Caenorhabditis elegans: one gene and its partner. The protein of the gene in region 1 interacts with the protein of each later gene in a pairwise test. Each region holds a gene or a part of one and is shown on either strand. Other genes may lie near its edges.

Region 1 (6,066 bases):
TCGCCGTGTTTCTCTCGAAAGAGTACAACTTTTGGCATAGAAATTGATTTTCCCGTGCTTTTCTGAACTTTCTACTGATTTTAAAAAAAAATCCCAGGAATTTGGGCAATTTTCCGTGAGAATTGTCTGAAAATCCCGTTCTAAACCGGAATTTTCAGTCGAAATCGCGTATTCAGCTCGACCAATCGGTGTAATTTGTGCAAACACCGTCACGCGCAAATGCAGACATTTTTGCACGCGGAATTCTCATTAAAATGCAATTCTCATTAATTTGTCAGCGAAAAGCAATAAAACCTCAACCACCAGATGCAGTTTTTGATTTATTCACGTCTTTTTCTTCTCGTTGCCACGATTCGGGTAACCGTTCCCGGAAACTTTGTCACGTGGGGCCACTCTATATTCTCGGAGCAATCGTAAAACTACATCAAAATTTGATAAGGAAGAGGAAAAACGAGTGGCAGCGGCAGAATGACCGATAATCAATTATGGAGAGAGAAAAACCTGCTGATGGCACATTTTTCGAATAGTTTTGCGGTTTTTGGTTTCGGAACGTGGGGCGGAAATTGCTCCCGAATGCTGAAAATGTACAGGAACTGGAAAAAAGTCAAGGATCTTAAAAATTAGGCTGCCTGTATGAATTCCACGACAGTATGCTGTGAAATGCTTGAAATTTCAAGTCAAAGGCCCAAAAAATATCAAAGTTTCAGGAAAATTGAGGAAACATCGATTTTCGATGTTTTTCCGGAAAAACTATCCAGATTTGAAGCTTTTTCTCCTAATTTTCCCGGTTTTTTTTGAGAAAAAGTCAAAAACTCGAATTTTGAAGCCAGAAGATTGTCAGGAAACGGAAATTTCTGACAAAATTGCTCAAACTCCTGAATTTTCCACCGGAAACCTTCAAAAAGTGTAGTTGGTACTTCAAAAACCAGTTCAATTGCAGCAAATTAAGAACATTATAGAGATAAGGAGTATTAATTGTTGGTGCAAATAATGAATTATAACCACCATTGCAAGATTGAATGATCACATGATATTTGGAAAACTAGAAAACTAGTATTTCGAATTTCCAACAAAAAAAAGGTGTTAAGAGCACCATTAAAAGTTTGCCATCATCTTTGGAAATGCCACAGGCTCATAAAATAGCAGTTTTGGGTGTGGCTCTTCAGAAAACACAGTTTGGAGTTTTTAGGGGCAGTTGGGAAAGGTCGGCGGGTGCTGAAAGCTCCGAAAGCCCAATCAGAGCTGCTGAATTTGGTTAAAATCTGGAAAACCAGGAATCTAACACCTTGAAGCAACCCAGTGCTGCTCAGAGCTCTTGAGGGCAGCTAAAGCCAGTTGGGAGCTTCTAGAGGCCCATAGAAGCTTATCGGACCAATAGGGAGCTGCTAGAAGCCGTGCTCGTCGGAGCTGCTAAAATCTGCTAGGAGCCACTGGGAACTCACAAAGGACTTGAGGCCTATTAGAATAGTACAGGGCTCAGTAGAAGCAAATTAAATCCTTTAGAAAGCTTGCTTGAACTCCTAGGTCAGGCTGGAAGCTTCTAGAGACATTTATGAGCTGTTGGAGGCAATTGGAAGATTTCAGCAGTCGGGCTTTTCGGAATCACTAAGAGCTCGTGAAGGCACTTTAGATCTGCTAGACGATCACAAGGCTTACTAAAAGCAAATTGAAGCCTTCAGAAAGCTTGCTGGGCGCCTAGGCCAGGCTTTGAACTCCTAGGTCAGGCTGGTAGCTTCTAGAAGTACTTGGAAGGGTCTAGGACTAGTTGGAAGCCGCTAGAAATGTCTATGATCTAACTGAAACAATTAGAAAATTTTAGCAATCAGGCTGCTCGGAGCCACTTGAAGCTTATTGGAAGCAGTTAAACGTTCCAGAAAAGGTCAGTGTCCAAAGGTCAGGCTCTTTTTCGGTATGCTAGAACCTACCGAGACCCGAAAAATCACAAAAACCTCCAACTTCTCACACAAAACCCTTCAGTGAACTACTATAATACAATCAGCTGAAAATTTGAAAATTTTGAAAATTAATCAAATGCTGATGCTCAACAGCTGTCAGACTTCATCACCTCTCCTATTACCTCCCCAAATATTACATCACTCTGACAATCATCGTCCCAAATTTTCACGTTTCTCCTTCTCCGGGTGTCTTATCTCGATCTCTCACTTCTCCAAACATCATCAAAACTTTTAATTGCCTCCCGTGTCAAAATGGGCGGAGTCAAACTTAAGGGAGGCGGAGCCTAAAAAAAGCTTATAAAATGGGGCGGAGGAGGACGGTGATTATCAAAATTTTCGGGGCTTTTTCTCGATTTTACTTCTAAAATCCCTCTTAACTTTGAATTTCGAGTAAAATTCTGAAAATTCTGAAAATTCCAGAACCTAAACAATGACGGTGCACCATCATCATCACACCCACCACGTGTCGCTTCACAAGATCAGTGAGTTTTCGGCGCTTCCTGCCAAAGATCATTCTTATCAGTGAAATTACCGAAAAAATTAGAAAATTTCGGAAATGTTTGCCAACACAACACAACTGACATGTTATCAGTTGTAGTTTCTTAGTATCACCTACGGTAGTCAAAGATCATGATAATTTTCAGAGAAGCTCTTCTCGAAGCACTCCTCGCACGGGCATAAGCTCACTCGGGATGAAGCTCGCTCGGCGCTCCACGATATTGAGCACCTGGCCAAGGAGCTCCACTTCCAGAAGGTCTTTGATCATCATGCTCATGATGGACACATCTCATTGAAAGGTTGGTCCGGAGCTTTGGAATCTCTTAATAAACAGGAATATTTCAGGATTCCTGAGCTTCATCTCCCCACACCACGGTCACCATACCCATCATGCTCACGGAGCCCATCCAGGCCACCACGAGGTCCACCACCACCATCACCATGTGAAGGCTCAGGACTCGAGCAGCTCCAGCTCCTCCTCCAGCAGCAGCTCGAGCTCCAGCTCCTCCAGCTCATCCTCATCCTCTTCCTCTTCGTCTGAATCCGAGGACGAGAAGCACCACCACAAGAAGCACGCCAAGAAGCATCTTAAGAAGCATCACAAGAAGGCCGAGTCTAGCTCTTCCAGCTCATCCAGCTCCTCGAGCTCCAGCTCAAGCTCCTCTTCCAGCTCCTCATCTGAGTCCGAAGACGAGAAGCATCACCATAAGAAGCATGCCAAGAAGCATCTGAAGAAGCATCACAAGAAGGCTGAGAGCTCTTCCAGCAGCTCATCGTCAAGCTCCTCTAGCTCCAGCTCCTCCAGCTCGTCTTCTTCGTCGTCGGAGTCCGAAGACGAGAAGCATCACCACAAGAAGCATGCCGTGAAGAAGCATCACAAGAAGGCCGAGTCTAGCTCGTCCAGCAGCTCGAGCTCGAGCTCCTCCAGCTCCTCTTCCTCATCCGAGGATGAGAAGCACCATCACAAGAAGCACGCCGCCAAGAAGCACGTGAAGCATCACAAGAAGGCCGCTTCCAGCTCCAGCTCTTCCAGCAGCTCCTCTTCCTCTTCCAGTTCTTCTTCATCGTCTTCTTCCTCGGAATCTGAAGACGAGAAGAAGAAGAAGAAGGTGCATCACAAGAAGAGCCACGGAAAGAAGCATCACAAGAAGGCCGCGAGCTCTTCTAGCTCTAGCTCTTCCTCCAGCTCCAGCTCCAGCTCCTCATCTTCCTCAGAATCTGAGGACGAGAAGAAGCACGCTCCAGCCCATCATGAGCACCACGAGCACAAGGATGGAGCTCATCACGAGCACAAGGAAGGAGAGCACCATGAGCACGCAGCTCATCACGACGAGCACGGAGTCCACCACAGACATCATGGAGAGCACCATGGGACCCACCACTCCCCAGCTCATCACGGGGAACATGGGACCCACCACGGACACCATGGAGAGCACCACCATGCTCCAGCTCATCATGGACACCACGAATCCCATGGACACGGACATCACTCCCCAGCCCACCACGGACATCATGGGGAGCACCACCATGCTCCAGCTCATCACGGACATCATGGAGAGCACCACCATGCTCCAGCACACCATGGACACCACGGGGAACATGGGACCCACCACGGACACCACGGATCCCATCACTCCCCAGCTCACCACGGACATCATGGGGAGCACCACCATGCTCCAGCACACCACGGACACCACGGGGAACATGGGACCCACCACGGACATCATGGAGAGCACCACCATGCTCCAGCACACCATGGACACCACGGGGAACATGGGACCCACCACGGACACCACGGATCCCATCACTCCCCAGCTCACCACGGACATCATGGGGAGCACCACCATGCTCCAGCTCATCACGGACACCACGGACACCACGGATCTCACGGAGTTCATCACGGACACCACGAATCCCATGGGCATGGTCACCACGCACCGGCTCACCACGGACACCATGGGGAGCATGGAGTTCATCACGGACATCATGGAGCAGGCTACGGAGCTCACCATGGACACCACGGAGCCCACCACCACCACGCCCCACACCATGAGCATCACGAACACCATGGAGATCATCACCACGGATCTCACGGAGTCCATCACGGACACCACGGAACCCACCACTCCCTAGCACATCACGGACATCACGGAGGTCATGGGACCCACCACGGAGCCCATCACTCCCCGGCTCACCACGGACACCACGGAGCCCACCACGAGCACGGAGCCCATCACGGAGCCCACCACGGACACCATGACGACAAGGAGAACCACCACCATCATGGACACCATTCGAAGCATTCAAAGAAGCAGCACACGAAGAAGTCACATAAGAAGAGCCACTAGACGGGCGGTCGATGAGCTTCTGCTCGCCACAATTGATGCGTCACTGCATTACATGTACTTTTTGGATAAATCCTGAACAGCCTTTTTTTTTTGTTTGTATCGATTTTTCTAGCGAATTTGTAATTTTTTGTACCAATTTTTCCGTGTCGAATAAATTAATTTCATTGTGTTTAGTGGAGAAAAACGAAGAAAAAAAACATGAAAAATTGCGATAGCAGCGCCCAAATCTTGTAGTTTGTAGTTTTAGCAGCGCCCAAACTCACTTTTTCTTCATTTTTCCAATTTTTTGCCGAAAAAACAGTCGAAAACTAGGTTTTTTATACGAAAAATCGCATAGCAGCGCCCAAAACTTGTAGTTTGTAGTCTTAGCAGCGCCCAAAATTGAATTAGCAGCGCCCAAAACTTGTAGTTTGTAGTTTAGCAGCGCCCAAAATTGAATTAGCAGCGCCCAAAATTGAATTAGCAGCGCCCAAAATCTTGTAGTTTGTAGTGTTAGCAGCGCCCAAAATCTTGTAGTTTGTAGTTTAGCAGCGCCCAAAATCTTGTAGTTTGTAGTCTAAGCAGCGCCCAAAACTTGTAGTTTGTAGTCTTAGCAGCGCCCAAAACTCGTAGTTTGTAGTCTAAGCAGCGCCCAAAATTGAATTAGCAGCGCCCAAAATCTTGTAGTTTGTAGTGTTAGCAGCGCCCAAAATCTTGTAGTTTGTAGTCTAAGCAGCGCCCAAAATTGAATAAGCAGCGCCTAAATCTTGTAGTTTGTAGTCTAAGCAGCGCCCAAAACTCGTAGTTTGTAGTCTAAGCAGCGCCCAAAATCATGTAGTTTGTAGTCTTAGCAGCGCCCAAAATCTTGTAGTTTGTAGTCTAAGCAGCGCCCAAAATTGAATAAGCAGCGCCTAAATCTTGTAGTTTGTAGTCTAAGCAGCGCCCAAAACTCGTAGTTTGTAGTCTTAGCAGCGCCCAAAATTGAATTAGCAGCGCCCAAAACTTGTAGTTTGTAGTCTTAGCAGCGCCCAAAATTGAATTAGCAGCGCCCAAAATCATGTAGTTTGTAGTCTTAGCAGCGCCCAAAATTGAATTAGCAGCGCCCAAAACTTGTAGTTTGTAGTCTTAGCAGCGCCCAAAATCTTGTAGTTTGTAGTCTTAGCAGCGCCCAAAATTGAATTAGCAGCGCCCAAAACTTGTAGTTTGTAGTCTTAGCAGCGCCCACAATCTTGTAGTTTGTAGTCTTAGCAGCGCCCACAATCTTGTAGTTTGTAGTCTTAGCAACG
Region 2 (5,337 bases), on another chromosome or scaffold:
TACGTACAACTGTTCTAAATTAATAAGTTATTTTTATAAGGTTTTGTGTTTGAAAACGTAAGGTACTTAGTGAAGTTTTATTAGTACAGGAAAAATAGTCAGAATTTTTTAATAAATTTTCTAGCTCGATCTACATAATTAGTATTCAAAACCTTGATTCGAAAATAATTGTCTCACTGTTAGTCAACAAATCATCACGGACTATTTGTCTTCAATTATCTTGTTCATATCCCTTCTTCTCGCCATAACCGGAAATGCCTCGAAACAAATACATGTGTCCCTTCACTCTTAATACACCCTATATTCCGGTCGTCCACGCACCTTTTTTTCCTCAGCAGTCCATCAAGTGTCCCTCCGTCCTTTTCTGTCATTTGCTGCACAATTCTATTCTTTCCAAAAACTCTTTTTGTAAGACCTGGGGTTATGTGTGCACTGTTATCAATACCATGCTCTTTTCCATGACCTTACGACCCCGCGCGCGCGCAATCGTTTTGTTTTGTCTATATGCGTGTTTTTTATTGACTGACTGACCACTACATATTTGCGGCATATTCAAAAAAAAGGTGTTTAGAGATAGACAATTAGGCGACGAGATGTATCATGCACACATACATTTTTATCTTCTCTAGCGTATTTTTGCGCCGTATTTTTTTTCTGATGCAAAGTCCCCAGATAATACCATAAGTAGAACGCGATCCGAGAAGCTAGCCACAGGGGTGATTTTTTTTCGTTGCTAATTTTTTTTTGCTTTTCAAAATTGTTGTTTTCCGTAAGTACAATTTTAGCATTTTTTTTAGGAACGACAAAAAATCGTCAGATCAATTTGTAATTTGAAATTTGAATCCAAATAATCTCTTGGTTTTAAAAATTTAGCATTTCAACAAATATCAACACAAAAACTAAGTTTAATTATTCAATGTTTATCAACTGAATTTTTATTAAATTGAAAAAAAAGTTGTTTTTAAAAGTTGTTTTTTAAAAATTTATTTCATCATGTTACCGTGAATTGAAAATTTGAACTTTTCAGTTATTTGAGAAGATTCCCTATTTTGAAAATGTTGGCAACATATTTTTGAGCGTAAAATGTTCACAATGAACTGTAATTTTTTGATTAATCAAAAATATATATCAGAATCAATTTTAAGGTTTGTGACCTCCAACATTTCCAAAAAACATAACTGATAGCATAACAAGTAAGTTCAAAAACTTTGCGTCTCTTGAGTATTATTGGGAGGTAGTTTGAAATTCCCCAACTATCTTTGAAACATTTGAGAATTTCACTTTTTAAAATTATGTAATTGATTCACTTGTTGGTATTTTTCCATGAAATTCCGACAGTTTGCCATTTCCAAATGCGCGGTCATTTGTCAACTGTGCTCCGCCTTGGCCTTCATTTCTACTCAATTTTCTCAGCAAAGTTTGTCCCGTCTAAACGGAACTACTAAACTTTTTTGCTTTTGCCGTTTTTATTTCGGAAATTTTTATTTGAATTTTCATCCAAATATTTTCTAAAAACGTATTTCGATATCGGTAACCCCAGCAAATCTCATTTTTCCGCATAACAGGACAAACACACTGTCCTTTTCGCTTCACTTTTTTGCTATCCCCTTCTTTTTTCCGTGTGCGTGCCGGGTGAAACTAGTCTCATCATTTGAAAATTGTCTGTATAATATCCGACCTACTACACATAAAATATATAGATGTTGGAGATGTTGACAGCCGGAAATTGTTTGGAACTAATTAGCTGCTGAGGGTTTTTTGCTGTAATTCAAGTGGACCCAGCACTTTTTGAGTATTTTGAATTTGTACTTACGCATAATTAAGCTTGTTCATTCTTATTTCTTTTAAATAAAAAAACTCCTGAAATCACAATAAAACAATATTGTCGCTTGTTATGGGATAAAACCCCATATTTCAGCTAATTTTATTAACACATACAAGTACATTAGGAACTAGATGATAATAAAAAAAAGTAGGAAATATTTTATCAGACGACAATTAAAAGTAAAATCAAAAGCATGAGCTGCCAAACTGAAACGAGCACAAAAAAAATGTCGAAATTGTACAAATACTCTCGAAAACCTTTTTTTTTAACTAAACGCTGAATTTCTATGTTTTCACTTTTTATAAACGTTTGAAAATTTTGTATATCTTCAATCACTCGGTCAACTGAAACTTTCCCTACTATTTCCAAATTACCGTCGAAATGCCACAGGGCAGCTAGCTGACCCCTGGCAACCACGAGATTCCCCCCCCCCCCCCCTTCATCTCTCTTGCCCGTGTTTCCTCTTCCGTTCTAATTACCTGCTTATTATCCGACAATACACCTGGCTCTCTAGGACCTTCTCTTTCTCTCTCGCGTCACTCCGGCAGCTAGCGTGTGCGGTACAGAAGAACAATCGTCAAGCGGCAAACTACCTTTTTTACCTCCAAACACAAAACAATTCGACTAGCTGCCGTCATTACTCCTATTTGGGATCTGCATTCAATGATCTACCACTCATGAAATATCAACATTTTCTCATATTTTGTACCCTGGTTACAAATGGTAAGTCTACTACTAAGATATGATGTCATTCGGTTTCACAGACTGATTGATCTGAGTGTGAAAAGTTTTGGTTTAGACTAGATGAGAGATAGAAATGTATAACACGAAGTTTAAGTGAACATCTCAAAAACTGAAAATCTAATTTAAATTCAAAATATGTTTGAGAAAGTTGATTTTGGGCTTTTAAGTGTTGAGCATTGTTGTATCTGAAAACTCTCAATTTTTGCAGCCCATCTCTTCTTTGATTTTGTAATCGTTTATATATTTTCAACTAAAATTGTAAACAAATAACTATTAACATATTTGTCGGTTAACAATTATTTCAGAAGCCCAGACCTTTTCAATAAAACACATGACTTCTTTCTCTGAAAATTAAATGAAGCTCGTATATTTCATACCAAAAAACAAAATAAATTTCTAAATTTTGTTTTCCAAAGATCAGTTCCAATCTAAAACTTGGACAAAACTACCAACTGACTTTTTGCAAAAAGTAATCCATCATTATCATTAAGACAGATGAATACCACAAGCTGTCACTAAAACTCTTTTCAGCACTATGTAACAGAGCGTGCAGTCGGAACACATGTCTTAACGGCGGAACTTGCACAGTGAACGATGAGACGCGAATGTTTCAGTGTGAATGTCCGAAGGGTTTCAGTGGGTTGCTATGTCAGGACAACTGCTCTTTGCACTGTCTCCACGGTAACTGCGTGAAAGGAACGTTTGGCGAAGAAACTTGCCAGTGCTCCGAAGGATGGATGGGCTCACTTTGTGATAATCTAGTTACTGATGATGACACTGCTCAAAAGTGCTCACCGCAATGTGGCGATGACGAAAGGTATACATGACCTTGTGCAAACCAAAAACATGTATGTTTTTTATAGATGCACAAAAGGAGCCGACGGATCATACATTTGCCAGAGCAACGAGCCGTCTTGCGCAACACACACTTGTCAGAATAACGGCACTTGTGTTGCCGAGAACGTGAGTGACTTGAGTCCAGAGTGATAAAAACCAATAGAATGTTCAGGGAAATGTAAAATGTGCCTGCCCACCTGGATTTGTTGGAGATCACTGTGAAACTGACGAGGACGAGTGCAAAGAAAATTTTTGTCAGAATGGAGCAGATTGTGAAAATTTGAAAGGAAGTTATGAATGCAAATGTTTAAAAGGATTTTCTGGTGAGTTTTGGTTTGAAAATTTGGATGGGAAGGATGAAATATAGTTTTCCAGTAGACATAATTGTGAAAAAAAAACCTGAAGTTTGAAAAACGTTTAGTTAGATTTTTTCAATAAGACTAGTGTGAATTTGATCAAAAATCATTTATAAGGTGCTAAATGACCAAATGTCATAAAAAATTTTCTAAACAATTCGGGGATTTTTTATCTCGAGTCAAAAATCGCATACATGTTTTTGCCACGTTTCGACAAATCTGAAGCATTGTCATGTTGATCCCTTTTGGCTCGAAATAAAATCATTTCTTCAGGTTGTTCAAAAAGTTTTATTATGATATTTGGACAAATACCCAGTTTTTTTGCAATACTTATAGTTTTCAACTTTCTTATTATTTTCTCAATTTTGTTAACGTTGCTGATTTGTTGAGAGTTTACATTCGAATAAATTATTTTATAAAAACAAAAGAAAACTAAGAAGAAACATGTTTTCACAATTTCTTCTAGGTAAATACTGTGAAATCCAAGACAAGAAACAATGCACTTCTGATTATTGTCACAACAATGGTCAATGCATTTCGACTGGCTCCGATCTCTCCTGCAAGTGCTCTCCCGGGTTTGATGGTGCATTCTGCGAGCTCAAAGCAGAGGTAACACCAATTTTCTCACTGTTAATTGCTTGTGTTTTTTCTCAGGTTAACGAGTGTATATGTGAAAACCCGGCTCATGTTTGTTCACTCGTAAACGGGACGTCAAGGACAACGCAATGCGAGTGTCCTTCGGGGTTTATGGTACGTTTGACGAATAATCTGGGCATGTTCGGATATGGGTCCCTCGCGCAATCTATCGTTTAATTGCAGGGTGCCGACTGTAAAGAGTTGCAAGCTCGTCCATGCGATCGTGAGCCGTGTCTTAATGGGGGTCACTGCGTCGACGACGGGCAGAATCTCTTCACCTGCTTTTGCCTTCCCTCTTTTACCGGCATCTATTGTGGAGAGCCTGTTGATTGTCTGGTTAATGGATCGGATTGTAAGAATGGGGGAAAGTGTGTGTTCGCGTTAGCCGCAACTACCTGCCAGTGTCCGGAAGGATTCAATGGGTCCAATTGTGAAATAAGTAATTCATATCGGTCACATCCAACATGCAGTGACATTCGATGTTTGAATGGTGGAAGCTGTAAACTCGACGCAGAAGGGGAACCGTTTTGTGTATGTGAAGAAGGGTTTGATGGACCGTTCTGTGAGCCAAAATCTGGATGCACAATTAATCCCTGTCAAAATGGAGGAACTTGCCAAGATGCAGGTAATAAGAAAAAGAATAGAGTTTTTTAGGGAGCTGTAAATTAATTTTTGTGCTGATACTGATACTCTTTAAAGTTTTACAATTTTTCAGATGGACAATACTTCTGTCATTGCACATCAGGCTTTGGTGGCGTCCACTGCGAAACGGTGGATGAGCCTTCAACCCCTATTCCCACATTAGGAACGTTTCCATCTTTTACAACTTCTGGAATCGACGGATTCTCTCAGAGTGTGAGTGTTTTAGTTTTTTATTCAAAATTCGTTCATAATAAATACTTGCAATATTAAAATTTTTCAGAAAATATCTTGCGAAGA

What was found.
Region 2: the proteins of Y39B6A.1 (region 1) and crb-1 interact in a two-hybrid assay, tested with the Caenorhabditis elegans proteins (one study listed by BioGRID).

Annotation. Positions count from the first base shown.
Region 1 is NC_003283.11:19,199,917-19,205,982, reverse strand, and holds Y39B6A.1 (Histidine-rich glycoprotein-like), read left to right. Parts: upstream 1-2,375; 5' UTR 2,376-2,385; coding exon 2,386-2,437; intron 2,438-2,599; coding exon 2,600-2,752; intron 2,753-2,798; coding exon 2,799-4,801; 3' UTR 4,802-4,970; downstream 4,971-6,066.
Region 2 is NC_003284.9:17,411,015-17,416,351, reverse strand, and holds the start of crb-1 (uncharacterized protein), read left to right. Parts: upstream 1-2,337; 5' UTR 2,338-2,502; coding exon 2,503-2,548; exon of another isoform or gene 2,549-2,660; intron 2,661-3,100; coding exon 3,101-3,386; intron 3,387-3,432; coding exon 3,433-3,532; intron 3,533-3,578; coding exon 3,579-3,729; intron 3,730-4,228; coding exon 4,229-4,371; intron 4,372-4,416; coding exon 4,417-4,512; intron 4,513-4,581; coding exon 4,582-5,023; intron 5,024-5,113; coding exon 5,114-5,253; intron 5,254-5,320; coding exon 5,321-5,337.